Caenorhabditis elegans: one gene and its partners. The protein of the gene in region 2 purifies or fractionates together with the protein of the main gene of each other region. This does not show direct contact. Each region holds a gene or a part of one and is shown on either strand. Other genes may lie near its edges. The genes, in order: B0280.9, glf-1 and ech-5.

Region 1 (5,089 bases), on a different chromosome or scaffold from region 2:
CATACACAAGTACCGATTTAGGGTTCTATCTTGCATATATTAGAACTCAAGTTACCGTATTCTACCTATTTCTGTAATAAAAGCAAAGATAGACGGAAATATAAACATTACCCTATTATTATTGAACTCAAAAATTGATTTAAGAAATAGTATTGTACATAATAAAAATATGGAAAAAGCGATATTTTTCCAACTAGTTTAATAATCGAATTACTCACTTTGTCGTTTGCAAACACTATTGTGAAAGTTCTCACATTCCTTTGAGTCGTAAAAGTTCAATCCAATGTATCTGGATTCTGCCTCAAAAACGAGTAACCTTGCATGTTCCTGCATTGTTTCAAACTTTTTGTCTCTATAATCATAGTGTTAGTTGAAATTAAATTATATTCAAGATTACCTAATAAGAAAATCAAATTGAACTGTTGGTTCCCAATCTGGATCTGCAGATGGTTCCATTACTATTATCCGGTAATATCGTTCCGTACTGTTCTGAAAAATTGAATTAATCGTCTGTTGAGTTTGAGTATTTCTTTGCAAAACTAAATTGGATTTTGCAAACAATCCTACTGCGACTCACTTCGAAAAAAGTATACATTTCTCATTTTGAAATAATTAATCTAGATTAATTGTTTGTTCTTCTAGTAGTTTTCATATGATAACATCTTTGCAGCTTTCTACCACAGTTCATCTTTTTAAAATTTATCGTACTTACTTTCAAAAACAATGCCACAGCGGTTCCCCCATTCGGTATCCGCCAATGCCCATTTTCAGAAAAAAGAAGTTGACAAATACCTGATGAAAGTATCTGAAATGAGCACAAGCTAGTTGAATTGAAACTACATTTGTCTTTAAGCAGAGACCGTGCCTATCTCTTAGTGCACAAAATCATACCTTATCGCTTGCCGATATTCCTCTTAGAACACTATTTTTTTCGTTGATCTCGAGGAAATCACTCAATTCAGATGTAATCATTTGGAAATTAAAATTTGAACAATCTGGAATGAATAGAATACGAATGATACGATTTGACGAAAGTGCTTTTTAATACAGCAATTGTTAAAAATTTTGAAATATTTACTTATTTCCCAACTTTATCAGTATTTTTGAAATTATTGCTCGCTCTTAATTTTACCGCCTCCAATGAGTCATTTAGGAAGCAAATTCTCATTTCTTTCAATCTTTAAGCTATCCTCGCCATTCATACACTTCAAGACTACTGTAATTTGAAATTAAACAGTTTCAGACACTTTACATCCAGACACTTTACATTTCAAAACGTTTTCAGAGTTTTCTAATTTTTTTTTCAGTTTTTTAAGAAAGACGTTTTTTCAACACAATTTTTATTGGGGCTATTCTAAGAACTACACGTATACTAGGAACATTGGGAATGAATGGGTACAATTTTCACAACAACTGGGAAGAGGAAAAGTGAAGTTTGGAGAGTGTGGTGGTGATAAGAAACAACTAATTTTCAATATGAACAAAATTCGATGCAAGTAGTCAGTGCTTCTTGGAATTGACAATTTCCTTGACAGATCCGTCAGAGTACGCGAAGAATACTGCGTCGACGCAACCGATGAATAATCCGGTTTCAACAATTCCTGGTGTATTGGCCAATCGTTGCTGAATCGCGAACCAATCTCTTCCGGATACGTTTTTCTCGAACTGCCAATCAATAATGAAGTTTCCATTGTCTGTCACAATTGGTCCGCACTTTTTGACAGCTTGTCGAAGTTGACAGCTTCCACCTTCAGCGCGTGGAATCGAACGTAGAAGTGGTTGAGCAGCAAGAGGTAGAACCTGCAATAAATCTCATTAAAAACAGTCAACATAACTACATCTATTTAGAAAAAACTATTGTTCTAAAGTTTATTCTTTAGTGCATCTTTCTTTACTGATAATTATAAAAAGTTAAATAATTTACCTCAATTGGGACATTCGGATAGCGATCACCCAAGTGTTTGGAATCTTTTAAATAATCAGCGATCACGTAAAAGTTTTTTGCAGCGGTTTGAACAATTTTTTCTTGAGCCAGACATCCACCTCCGCCTTTGATGCACGTGAACTGTCCGTCAACTTCATCAGCTCCATCAATACACACATCCAGTTCTGGATGTGAATCCAAATCGGAGACAGGGAGACCAGACTCAATCAGCCATTGTTTTGTCTGAAATACTTATTTATAACAATTGGGTTTGTTGAAAATCTGTTTACCAAAAAACTGGTTGGAACACAGATGATATCCTTGAGACTTCCATTCTGAAATCCTTGTTTAAGATATTCTACCAAATACTTGACAGTGCTTCCGGATCCAACACCAAGACGGCAACCACTTTGCACATATTTTTCACCGCAGGCAAACGCAGCCTGAAATGATTAATGAGGGTTGGAATTGGTCTTAATTTTTGACTTACTCGTTTCTTCGCCTGCTCAATAGGAGCCAGTTCTGCTTCAGGGCCGGTGGAGGTGACCATTCTGGCGGTTCGCAATACTCCTGATAATGGAAATTTTGTAGAAAACATACAAAAATGCTGAAAAGAAAACGAAAACAATAGTAAATTGATAAGAAAGACTGAAATTTTCAGCTGAAATACTGAAATTAATGAAATTCTGCATTGAGACGTGACGGTGTTTGCACTAAAACTACGATAACACACACTATTTGACGACAATTGCTTCTCATTTTTCTTTTTTCTTTTCCGAATTTTCTTTAATTTTCAGCTTATTGAATCTTTCATTAAGGTTATTTTGAACAATTTTCAGAGAAATGAGCAAACGGCCAGTGATTGAGTCTGAAAAGCCTGCGTGGCACGATGAGGACGACGATAATATGGTTGTGGCGGTTCCAAAAAAAGTGAAAATGACAATGCGAGTTGAACTCAAGCGAACCACAGACGAAGAACATGGAGAATTGGATTCAAAGGTAAATTTTTTTTAGAAATACGTTATTCAACGTGTAATAAAGATTATATAATTGAAAATAGGCAGAAGGATAAATTACTTCTGAAAAATAATTTTAATATTTTAGGAATACGTTGGTAGATTGCAAGAGGCGTTCAGAAAACGCCACGGAGGCACACCAAAATGGGCTAAGGCTGCTGCAGGTTTTTGGAAAATCAATAGTTCAAAAATCGTATTTTACAATTTTAGGAGACGAAGAAGAAGGGTCATTGTTGAAAACTGCTGCCGGATATTTGGCGAAAGACGTGAATTTACCAAAAACAACTATTCATACAACTCTTATAAAAGATTTCAACATCGGACACCGATACACTCGTGGAATCACTGTTGTTAAATTTCATAAAACCCGACCAGTGCTCATTGTTGCCGATCAAGGTGGAAATGTTCAACTTTTTAAAGTAAGTTGTGTTTTCTGTTTTAATTAAACCATTCCTTACTTATTTCAGGTAAGTCGTGAGGTTAAAAAGGATCGTTTCCTTCAAAGTGCGAATTTCTCAAAATTCCCGATTGATAGTCTGGAAATTGCTGATAAAGGACACTCTGTGATCTGTTCTTCAAGCCGAAAGGAATATTTGATGCAGTACAATATGGAAACAAGAGAAGTGACACAGTTGAAACCTCCAAACAGTACGTTTAATATTTAATAAAATTTGAAGCAAAACTTTGAACATTTTACAGCAGTACCAAAGCAAGGAATTCGGCTCTTTGCCATTTCGCATGACTCTCAATTTTTGGCAATTGCAGGACACAATTCTCACATCTATGTTCTCCATGCTACTGTATGTCAAAAAATTAAATTATTGGCAAATTAAAAGTTTAAATGTAAAATGTTTCAGTCGATGGAGCATATCACAACAATATCACTCCCAGCAAATGCGTCAGAAATCAAGTTTTTCCCATCGCACAGCCGTGAAATTTGGATCATCTGCGGTTGGTTTTATATTGCCAAAAATTCAAAAATTATTCGAAATTTCTAGAGACCGGCCAAATTGTGATCGCAAACATTGGATTGCCGGGAACCAAATCATCGCAACATACATTCACCGACGATGGAGCTGTGCACGGAACAACACTCGCCATCAGCCAACATGGAGATTACTTTGCGACTGGGTAAGCTTTTTTAAAATCAAACTTTTATAATTCGTAAAATCACGATACTGTCATTCATTCATATAATTCATATATTAATATAATTGTACAGTTTGCTACATCTTTTTTTTTGTTGATATTTTCAGTTTAGCAACAAAAATTTAAAAAAAAAAATCTTTTTTTGTTGAATTCCGGTGAAAATAAATGACCTAGTCTTTACATACATCCTGATTATATGATGAAAATTTGAAATTTCCAGAAGTGATACCGGAATCGTGAATGTCTATTCTGGAAATGATTGCCGCAATTCTACAAATCCTCGTCCACTTTTCAATGTTTCTAATCTCGTCACCGCGGTCTCATCAATCGCTTTCAATTCTGATGCTCAATTGATGGCAATTTGTTCAAATGTCAAGGACAATCATCTTCGTCTCGTCCACGTGGCAAGTCAGACAACATTCAAAAACTTCCCGGAAAGAAACGGAAAAGTGACACATGCAAGATGTGTGGAGTTTTCTCCAAATGGAGGATATATGGCCGTTGGAAACGATGATGGACGTCTTCATGTTTTTGAAATTCATCATTTTACAGACTATTAATTGGTTCTAACATTGTTATTCTTTTCTTTGTCGTTGATTTCGTCCAAATTGTTTTGTTTTTATTCTTCATCCGTTTTTTTGTTGTTATGAAAATTTATCGTTTTTATTCCAACTTCCAGAGCAGCTTTTGAACCACTGGAAGATTTAAAAATACAAACCGACGTTTGCACAAAAAATTCAAAAACAGTTGAACGTAGTCCTAGTCTGTACCGAAAAATGACTTGATCGTTCTTTGTACACTATAGTGACATAGAATTGTCTCAATAGTCGCCAGTTAGAAAAGGGTTGAACAACACAACGAACGATCGAAAATGACGAAAAATTAACAATGAATGTCAGTTTTTCACGTGAAGTCTGGTAGAATTAGTATAAGAGGAACAAGAAAAGTTTAATTTGTTTCTCCAAAGTCCGTTTTTCGGCAGATTTTTCACTGGAGCACA
Region 2 (5,089 bases):
GGTATGAAAAGAAAATGCAAAGAAAAAGTAAAACAAGTTGAATTTTTCAAAAATGTTTTTAAAAATTTGGTGAAAATTGTTTTTTTTTCATTTTACATATTCATAATGCCCATTTAGTTTTAATATTTTTTATTTCAGATTATCATCCTTCTTCATATCATCAGAACACATCCCCACAATATACCTGACAAGTATCGAAATCGCTAAACGGTTCAATTGACGGAAACGTGGCAGTTTCCGTGGATTTCTTAGCCATCGTTGAAAAAGCCGATTCAGATTGCAAAACTGTGATTGTAATTAAAAATAAAATTGTAATTGAAAAATATGTCCTTGTGTTTAATAAATCTGAAAATCTGGGGTTTTCGGAAGTAGGGCTGTGCGGCTGATGACTCGGCTGATGGAGCAAATCAACGTTTTTCAACGTATTAGCAATGATCAATTAGGGAATACTTGTATTTGCCATATCGGCTGAGTCTTGAGCTTCTAATTCTAGAAAAAAGTTTTTTAAAAAGTGCACACCCCTTCCAGAAAAACTCGTTTTTCCAATCAGCCTACAGCCGACAGCCGAGTTACTCGGCTGATTCAAAAAGCCGACTGTTTTGTCAAGGTGTGTGCACTTAAAAAAAAACGTTTTTCTAGAATAAGAAGCTCATGACTCAGCCAATACTGCAAATACAAATATTCTTTAATTGATCAGTGCTAACACGTTGAAAAACTTGATTGTCTTCATCAGCCGAGTCATCAGCCGCACAGCCCTATTCGGAAGCACAATTTTCATTTTACTTACGTCTCATTTTTCGAAGTTTAATCTCAAAGTTGAGTGATAAGAAATAATTAGAATGACAGGAAACGTGGAAGTTTTGTCTTAAAAAATCTACGTTCAGATTGTTTTAAAAATTCAGGAAAGTCCACGTAAATAATAGTTTTAAGAAAATTAGAATTGTAACAGTTAGGAGTTAGAGAGCATGTATTATTTTTGGTAAGTTCTCTGTTACAAGTGCCAACCAAATATTTTCAAGGTGTGATGTCACAATTATTTTTTAAGGATATCTTATGGAAAAAAATCGCATGTCATTCAGTGAAAAAATCGGTTTTTTTTTTCATTTCTACTTTTAAGCCCATTTTAAATTTTGAAACAAATATATCAACTTTAAGTTATTTATCATTAAAGCATCAATGACTAGACTACATACACTCATAGACTGATCGTAAAAAGTTATACCCAACACCTTCTGTGGTATCGTGAAACCGTAAGTTTTTAAGCGATATACACATAAAAATTAATTACTATTTTAAAAATTGTTACCACTGCGAGACCAATTTGAAGGATTCATTGCATAACTTTTCAGACATTCAACTATAATTCGAAGCAGATATTTCAGTCTAATTTCCTATAATAACCGGAAATATCCAACGATTGTTGATCGGACTTTTGGATTCTTTAGACTCTCAAAATTCTTTGCATGACGTCAAAAGATTCTCAGTGTATTATTTGGATAGAAAAAATTGTCGAGCGCCCCAACCTCCCGCGTTTATCTCATTTGCAGATCATCGACTTCAAAATCCCGTTCCAAATTCCGTATCCAGAATCGGATAAAAACTTCTAAGCAAGAGATAAATATCATTTAAAAAGGGAAGCAGCTCCGCAATCTCAAATTTTGATCTGCAATATCGGCTGTCTAACAATTTTTGCCCTTTCTAACAGATAATCAGATCAACAACACGAATTGGGCGGAGTCAGTGGTGGATCTTTGAGAGTCTGAGAAGGTGGGGAAAAGTACAAAAGGACAGGTTCTCTGGCACTCTTGAATATCTATTGATTCCGCCTTTATTAATTTTCACTAGAAGCAATTAATACACCGATAGGCATTGAAGGGGGTGAATATCTTCCTCTCACTTATCAACAATTTACGATCTCTCATTCTTCTCAAGGATCTGGGTCAAAATCCAATCCTTTTCCTTCTCCATGCATTTTCTCTTTTCCTCGCTCATTGTTTAGAAACGAGATTCTCCGTGTTCTCTTGGCTTCTTTATTCGCTTTCTTCTCTCATTTGATTTACAGTTACAATATGTTACAAAATCATTTAATTGTTCTTCAGAATGAAGATCGTTTGCATTGGTGCTGCACCAACGGCTCTCGGAGCTGCCTACCGGCTCAATGAGCTCAAAAACGAGGGAAACGAGGCTGCTCAAAACGCTGAAATTGTTCTTCTTGAACAGGTTTGTGTGCATTTTTGAAGACTAAAATTTGCGGTTTCACGTTTTACATATTACATAATTTAATAATTCGTTCTTCAATCATTATTGTTTTCCACTTTTTGCGCACTGTTTTTATTTTCATTTTCCCCGGTCAAAGCGTGAAATGATGTTTTGTCTCCTCCTTCTTACTCTTAGCTCCCTTCCAGAAGCCTTTTGTACAATTTTTGGTAACAAACTTTGAGATCTATCGGGCGAGATATGGGGAAAATGTGACGTGACGCGAACTGCTACCGGTATAATAATGGAGACGATTACTGAAAATCAAAAATTTTAACTGTTTCTCGTTTAGTATTTGACTAACAGACTAAAATCTCGTTTTCATTTTTTTTTCTTGCCTTTGAAAGATAATTTTAACTGTTCTCAAGGATATCAAAATAATGTTTTACGGAAATTGTGCCGTTAATGAAATAAAAAAAGGAATCTGAAAAATGTATATTTGGAAACAGTAAATATTTCTACCTCACAATCAGCCAAAATTTCGAGGATGTTAAAATAAATAAAAAAAAATAGCTCAATTTTTGTATTGATTCTAAAAATAATGTTTCAGGAGGCCATTGCTGGAGGACTCTCCTGCACTGTAACCGATGAGAAAGGTTTCCTCTGGGATATGGGAGGTCATATCACTTTCAATCACAACTACCCATACTACGAGAAGGCTACTCAATGGGCTGTTGATGACTGGAATAAGTTGGCAAGAAACTGTATGGTTGATATGAATTATTTGTATGACAAGAAAGGAATCCATTTGGTACCATATCCAGCTCAATTCGCTGTTCCATTGTTCCCGGATGAAGTTAAGAACCGTTGTCTTGCTGATTTGAAGGAGAGATATGAGAATGTAAGTGAAAAGAGAAAGGGAAGCTAAAACTTCATTAGATCAATATCTTCTTTGTGGATAACGGATATTAGTTTTATCTGAATTAAAAGATTTCATTTTGTTGAAATTCAAACTTTAAATAATAATTGGAAGTACATGATTGTAATTTATCAATACTCGGAAACAGTATTTTTTAAAGAGGGTGTAGTTGGTGTGGGGAAATTACTGAAACTCCCAGTAGGAATCTCTAAACAAACATTAAAAAAAAAGAACAAATATGTAAAGAGATAATTCAGCTCAAAATAAGCGGAACTGATTGAAATTCAAATTCCCGCGCAAAAATAACATTCTAGAACACCAATTAGCTGAACGGCAAATGAAATTTCAAAGCATTTTCGAACTTGATTTTTATACGGTTATTGAAAGTTTTTCTCTACTTTTTTGAAAAATTCTCTTGAGATTTATTTGGGAGAATAAAATTTGAATATGTTGTATGAAAACCGATTTTTGCGAATGATCACAAATATTATGTAGTTTGTGAATTAGTAGCCGGAAAACTGATAATTCTCCCACTTACCGTCTTCAATCCAACTTTCACGGAATTTCAGAAAATAGCATTAGAAAGTTACCTAAAATCTGCAGTTTTAATACAGTTTCGGACTAGACTTAACCACCCAGTCATGCTGGCTAAAAAAAAACATTCAAACTTATTTTACAGCCACAAGACGGAACTACCCCAGACAACTTTGAAGAATGGGTTCTCCAACACTTTGGACCAACAATTCTTAACACTTTCTTCAAACCATACACTAAGAAAGTATGGACTGTTGAGCCATTAAAAATGTCTCCAAATTGGGTTGGATCTCGTGTTGCTAAGCTTCCACAGGAGAAGCTCGAGGAGCTTTGCTCAATGGATCAAGCAGAGTTGGCTAATGCTGATTTTGGATGGGGACCAAATTCCTATTTCACTTTCCCAACTTATGGAGGAACTGGAAATGTTTGGAATTCGATGGCAAAGAAGTTGCCAAATGAGTGGTTCAAGTTCAACAATAAGGTAAGCGTATACTGTTTTTTGCGTGAAGTGAATTTTCTTTGAGTTTTAGTTTATTTGCTGGACCGTGCATTTAAACTATAAAAAATCCATTTCCAGGTCACCGGAGTCGATCACAAGGAGAAGACCGTTGAGATTCTTGAAAAGGGACAAACCGAGCCAACCAAGATGTCATATGATGTTCTTCTTAACACTGCTCCAATTGATCAACTTGTGAACAACACACAAATCACTGCTCCATTGGATATTGTTCATAATAAGGTTTGGATTTTTTAGAGTTTTGTAAAGAAAATCAGAATTAGCAGTTGGGTTGATCAAACTTGGATTGGTCCTTTAAAATGTATTTAACAGCAATGTGAAAATGCAAAAATAACATTTTGAGACAAAAGAACATTTATTTATTTTCATCTCAAGCATTCAACACGATGTTCCGAAAGAACAACATGTTATTTATTAGTTCGATGAAACAGTGAAAACAATTTCCAGGTGTTCATTGTGGGAGTTGGACTCCGCAAGCCAATGACCTCATTCCTCGAGAAATTCACATGGCTCTACTTCCCAGATCGTGAAGTTCCATTCTTCCGTGTCACAATTCTCAGCAGATACGGAGAAGTGACTCCAGATGGTGATAAGTATTGGTCTGTCATGTGCGAGTGTGCTCGGCCAATCGATGATCCGGTTAGTATTGTAATTTTTATCAATACAGTTCATTAAATTCGAACAAATTTTCATTCTGATCTAAAAAATGTGGAACAGCAAATTAAAATGAATTAGTTTTATAGATCACCGAGGAAGAGATGGTCAAGAAGACACTTGATGGACTTGTCATCAAGGATATGATCACTCGTGAGGCTATTGAGTCGGTTTATTCCATTACTTTGCCATATGGATACCCAATTCCAACTCCAAATGTAAGTAATTTCAATGAACATCGTATGGATCGTATTAAATTACCACACTTT
Region 3 (5,089 bases), 5.1 Mb from region 2:
ATACGACTGGCGACTGTTTGGGTTCCATAATTCACGAGTCCGGTAATATCCAAATCATAGGCAGCTTTAATAACAGCTAGCAAGTTTCCCATCGGCAGTACACTGAAAAAATGTTGATCCCAGGACGGAATGACGACTTTCTTTTTGCCTTTTTCGGCTTTTGCAATCTCTGGATCGTCTCCCTTGTGTTGATCACACCATTTAATCAGTAGATCCAATGTGTATTCATGTTCATCAACAGGTATCGGCTTAATCTCCGCACAGTCTTCTTTATCATATCCTAGCTCTTTGATAGTTGTAGAAATAGTGCTGGAGAGCTGGAGAGCACGGATATCTGCCTGCAGCACCTCTCCATTGGAAGAAGCCAGTTGAAGTAGGCGAGGTGGTGCGCTTGGAGGAGCCGGCTTTGGAGCACTAAAAAAAGCGCGATTTCTGATTTTTTGAGAAAAAATTGCTGAAAAATAAAAAATTTTTAATGATTTTTCAATGAAAATTGGGAAAAATGCTATCAAAATACCTGGCTGGTGCACGTTTTTTATTGTTTTTCTTGTTCTTCGGCATCTGCTTTCTGGCCCAAATTTGATGTCTGAAATACACAAAATATAGGTTTTTTTAAAGTTTTTGTGTGAAAATTCGAAAATTTTCGATTGAAAATCGATATTTCAGCAATCAAAATTGGTAAATTTCCCGAAAATTGCTTAAGAAATCCTGTTTTTATCGCTTTTTCGCTAAAAACGTTTTTAAAATCGAAAAAAAAAATATTTCGAAAGTTTGTGCGTCAAGTTTGGCGCCGGGTACGCAGACACACCATCACGTCAGATTGCACACTTTCCAGATTTTTTTTGAAAAAAAAGTAATTTTCGAATAAAAATCGATGTTTAAGCTATTTTTTTTAACAAAATAATAAATCTAGATGCAATTTATTCAACAAAAAACCCTATTTAAACATAACAATCACCAGAAAACAAGAAATTATCGATTATCAATCAAAACATGGGTAGTTTTCGGTCGCCGCTTGTTCTCCACATACAAGAACCGCCACTGCCAATCTCCGTCTCGTTGCTCCATTTCAGCTTGAGCAATTCCCTCATCTCGGTCTCCTTTCACGTGGAAAAGCACCCGAATCCGCTGCATTCCGTCCTTCTCGTACTTGTGATGTGCCACGTGGCGGCGGCGTCCACGTGACGTTTCCTCGCCGAATCCGGCGATTGAGGCGCCGAATATTTCCTGACAACGGCCATCATCACGTACCAATGCGAGAGCTCTGCAAAAAATATTTGATTTAAATTGGTTTTTCCCGGAAAAAAGTGAAAAACCAACTTATTGAAAATTGTCTGCGGGGAATCTTGAGCGAAAAATTCCCCGGCGAGCACATAGATAAATGCACCAATTAGACCGATTCCAGCGACAACTGCCGTGTACATAAACGTGTTCGACGCCTTTTCAGCGACTTTTCCGCCAAATGTCGTCGGTTTCGCCTTCTCATGCACCAAAACTTCCTCCAAAATCGATCTCTGGAGCGCATGTTCCTGTTTTGAGGGTGATTTCTGTGATTTTTCAAGTGCTGTGATCGTTCGGGAGAAGCTGCGAAATTGGGATGGTGTTAGGAAGTAGCTGGAAGATTTTTCATTATTTTTCTCTAAAAATTGCCGAAAAGTTACCTTTTCAGCACATTTTGCGTGACTGCACCTGCACAAAGTTTGCTGAGCGGTGTCATTACCTGAAAAGTCAAAAAATTTGAAAAAATTTAAAGGAAAAATTAAGAAAAACGGAAAAAAACTGATTTTGAGAAAAAAATAATTTTAAAAATAGGAAATATTCCAAAGAGACACCACAGAATGCCAGGGAAACTGAAAATTGGAGAATGCAAGTCTATAGTTTTTCCTGCAGCTTAGAAGTGAAAATAAAAGTATTTCCAAGTCGCCTATTTTTATATTAAATTTTATTTTGATAAATTGATTTAAATCCACATTTTAAACAAAATTTTACTGAAATCATCTTGGAAAATCTCGCAGATTTCTTTCTAATAAAATTTTTTGCATCGTAATGCAAACGCGCTCTATCTACACATACTCCTCTCGGACAAACATTTATTTAATGAATTTTTGCGCGTTTTTAACCATTTTTCCACTATTTCTTGTCGAATTTTCACAATTTTTTTAATGATTTTTTTGCAGAATGTTGTCTCAAAAGATTCTTCTCAACCTCCGTGCCTTCGCCTTTCACCCACTGGCCTACAGCACCACCACAAACCCGGCTAACGAGGTTTTCATCGAAAGATTGACTGGAAAAGATGAAGGTGCGCAGCCTTTTTGATAATTTTTATTAAAAATTTTGCTTCCAGGAATCACAATTCTCAACATGAACCGTCCGGCGAAGAAAAACTCCTTGGGACGAGTTTTTATGGACCAGGTAGGCAGTTTTCGCAGAGTTTTGCCGCAAAAAATTACATTTCCAGTTCCGTGAGGTGCTCGACGAGCTCAAGTACGATCCAAAGACACGTGTGGTGATTCTCAACTCGAAATGCGATAATGTGTTCTGTAGTGGTGCGGATTTGAAAGAACGCAAGACTATGAGCCAGCAGGAGGCCACCAGATTTGTCAATGGGCTCCGTGACTCGTTTACTGATGTAAATAACTTGAATTAATCGATTTTCAGTCAAAAAATCGAGAAATTTGCGGTTTTTTCCCCTGAAAACGTCGAAATTTTCAGGTAGAACGCCTTCCACAGCCAGTTATCGCCGCAATCGACGGATTTGCACTGGGAGGTGGATTGGAGTTGGCACTGGCTTGTGATATTCGTGTTGCTTGTTAGTGAAAATAATTTTCCCTGGGGAAACACTAAAAAAAAAAATTTTTGAAAACGTCAAATTTAGTTCAAAATTCGAGAAAATACGTAATTTCCTGACTTTTCCACTTGTAAAATGCCAAATTTTGTCTAAAAATTCAATTTTAATTCAAAAATTACAAGTTTTAACGTGAAACTTCTATTTTCGGCAAAAATGCTCTTAAAAGCTTCTTAAAAGATCCTTTTCAGCAGAAAATGCTCAACAACTCAGCAAAAATCTCAAAATTTCCACCAATTTGGGTCAAAGAACCTCATTTTTGCTCTAATTTTCCCATTTTTTCTGCTGGAAAATCCAATTTTCAACCAAAAAATGCCGAAAAACTTAATTTTCATGTAGAAAAAGCGTAAAACTTTTCAGCTCGAAACTTTTTTTTTCAGTTTTGCATTAATTTCCCCATTTTTTCAGCGCAAAAGACAAAAAAAAAAGAATTTTATTCCGAAAATTCCCAATTTTTAGCCTAAAAATCTGAAAAATTTGAACCATTTTGACTCCATTTTCAGCAAAAAAAAAGCATAAGAATCTAAAACTTTCAATTATTTTTAAGTAAAAAACTCTTTTTTCTCTCATTTCTCAATTTTTGCGCAAAAATGCCTAAAAACCTGCATTTTTTGCGCAAAATGCTCTAATTTTCATGTAAAAAACGTAAAAATTAGGATTTTTCAGCTCAAAACTTATTTTTCTTCGATTTTGCATTAATTTTCCCATTTTTTCAGCACAAAAAGCCAAAATAAGTCTATATTGAGTGAAAAACTCATTTTTGCCCTAATTTTCATGTTAAAAAACGTAAAAATTCGAATTTTTTAGTTTTAGCTTTTCATAGAAATTTACCTTTTTTCCCAAAAACTACGAAAATTTCGGTTTTTCATCACAAAAATCGTGAAAATTGCCATTTTTTGACTTAAAAATCCAATTTTTAAGTAAAAAATACTTGAAAATCTCCATTTTGAGTCAAAAAACCAAAGTTTTGCTCCAATTTTCCCATTTTTTCCAGCTCAAAAAGCCAAAATGGGTCTATTTTGAGTAAAAAACTCATTTTCGTTTCATAGAAAATTGCATTTTTTCAACACAAAAAATACGAAAATTTTAATTTTTCAGCTCAAAAATCGTGAAATTTTCCATTTTTTGACTTAGAAATCCTTTTTTTCAGGCAAAAATTTCAAAAAATCTTCATGTTGAGTAAAAAAACCTAAGTTTTGCTCTAAATTTATCCATTTTTTCAGCTCAAAAAGCCAAAATGGGCCTAGTCGAAACAAAATGGGCTCTAATTCCCGGCGCCGGAGGTTCTCAACGTCTCTACCGTATTGTCGGAGTCGCAAAAGCCAAAGAGCTCATCTACACAGCTGAAGTGCTCAACGGAGCCGATGCTGCCAAGCTTGGAGTCGTTAATCACGTCGTTGAAGCCAATCCAATCGAAAAATCACTGGAAATCGCACGAAAAATCATTCCAAGAGGCCCGATTGCTGTGAAATTGGCCAAATTGGCAATTAATTTGGGCTCTCAGACTGATATTACCAGTGCTTTGAGTGTTGAGCAACAATGTTATGCACAAATTGTACATTCAAAAGATCGATTAGAGGGAATGGCGGCTTTTGCTGAGAAGAGAGATCCTATTTATAAGGGCGAATAAATTTTGGGAGAAAAGGGAGAAATTCGGCGGGACATTGAGTGAAAAATCGCGAAAATTCGACGAAAAACGAGTGAAAATTGAATTTTCTTGGATTTTTGGATTTCTGGCAATTTCGGCCCGAAATTCAGAAAAAAAAATTAGTGAAAAATCGTAATTCTCGAAAAACTTGAATTTTTCACAAATTTTCTGCGATTTTTGATTTAAAAATCGACTTTTCAGAAATATTTTGAACACATTTTGATGAAAATTTGTGAAAAAAAAATTCAAAAACTGTGTGAAACTTGATTTTTCAAGAGATTTCGGAGTTTTTAACGATTTTTAAGCGCATTTTTGCGCAAAAATGCTGAATTTTACAAAAAAAAAACGTGATTTTTTGATGCAAAAATGTCAAAAATTGCACAATTTTTTAAAAATTTTTGCAGAAATTTTCAACTTTTCATCGATTTTCCCGATTTTTCTCTCAATTTCTCCCATTTTTCCTATACTTTCTCGAATAATTGTATTTCTAGATGTGTCGCTATTATTTATTTTAATTTCAGGATTTTTTGAGCTTTTTCAATGTGTAATTTTACACCGGTTTTTAATAAAGTTTTTATCGCATTTTTCCCAAATTT

The links.
Region 1: the proteins of glf-1 (region 2) and B0280.9 fractionate together in Caenorhabditis elegans (co-fractionation; one large-scale study listed by BioGRID). This does not show direct contact.
Region 3: the proteins of glf-1 (region 2) and ech-5 fractionate together in Caenorhabditis elegans (co-fractionation; one large-scale study listed by BioGRID). This does not show direct contact.

The regions. Positions count from the first base shown.
Region 1 is NC_003281.10:7,120,570-7,125,658, reverse strand, and holds B0280.9 (U3 small nucleolar RNA-associated protein 18 homolog), read left to right. Parts: upstream 1-2,763; 5' UTR 2,764-2,767; coding exon 2,768-2,923; intron 2,924-3,028; coding exon 3,029-3,104; intron 3,105-3,150; coding exon 3,151-3,359; intron 3,360-3,407; coding exon 3,408-3,588; intron 3,589-3,639; coding exon 3,640-3,740; intron 3,741-3,797; coding exon 3,798-3,891; intron 3,892-3,938; coding exon 3,939-4,071; intron 4,072-4,309; coding exon 4,310-4,649; 3' UTR 4,650-4,754; downstream 4,755-5,089. Other genes in the region: B0280.2 (uncharacterized protein), read right to left, coding at 219-352, 398-489, 713-805, 892-972; rpia-1 (Probable-ribose 5-phosphate isomerase), read right to left, coding at 1,501-1,800, 1,925-2,167, 2,215-2,367, 2,415-2,474. UniProt on the Caenorhabditis elegans protein: Involved in nucleolar processing of pre-18S ribosomal RNA.
Region 2 is NC_003282.8:5,883,736-5,888,824, forward strand, and holds the start of glf-1 (Amine oxidase domain-containing protein), read left to right. Parts: upstream 1-2,099; 5' UTR 2,100-2,100; coding exon 2,101-2,220; intron 2,221-2,298; exon of another isoform or gene 2,299-2,319; intron 2,320-2,580; exon of another isoform or gene 2,581-2,602; intron 2,603-2,806; coding exon 2,807-3,097; intron 3,098-3,794; coding exon 3,795-4,130; intron 4,131-4,226; coding exon 4,227-4,388; intron 4,389-4,424; exon of another isoform or gene 4,425-4,445; intron 4,446-4,531; exon of another isoform or gene 4,532-4,552; intron 4,553-4,613; coding exon 4,614-4,805; intron 4,806-4,816; exon of another isoform or gene 4,817-4,837; intron 4,838-4,909; coding exon 4,910-5,038; intron 5,039-5,051; exon of another isoform or gene 5,052-5,072; intron 5,073-5,089. Other genes in the region: H04M03.11 (uncharacterized protein), read right to left, coding at 185-345, 788-794.
Region 3 is NC_003282.8:794,846-799,934, forward strand, and holds ech-5 (Enoyl-CoA hydratase, mitochondrial), read left to right. Parts: upstream 1-2,177; 5' UTR 2,178-2,178; coding exon 2,179-2,299; intron 2,300-2,344; coding exon 2,345-2,412; intron 2,413-2,458; coding exon 2,459-2,629; intron 2,630-2,712; coding exon 2,713-2,809; intron 2,810-4,068; coding exon 4,069-4,475; 3' UTR 4,476-5,075; downstream 5,076-5,089. Other genes in the region: skr-18 (Skp1-related protein), read right to left, coding at 1-414, 518-561; F56B3.11 (Mitochondrial import inner membrane translocase subunit Tim21), read right to left, coding at 973-1,264, 1,321-1,614, 1,662-1,717.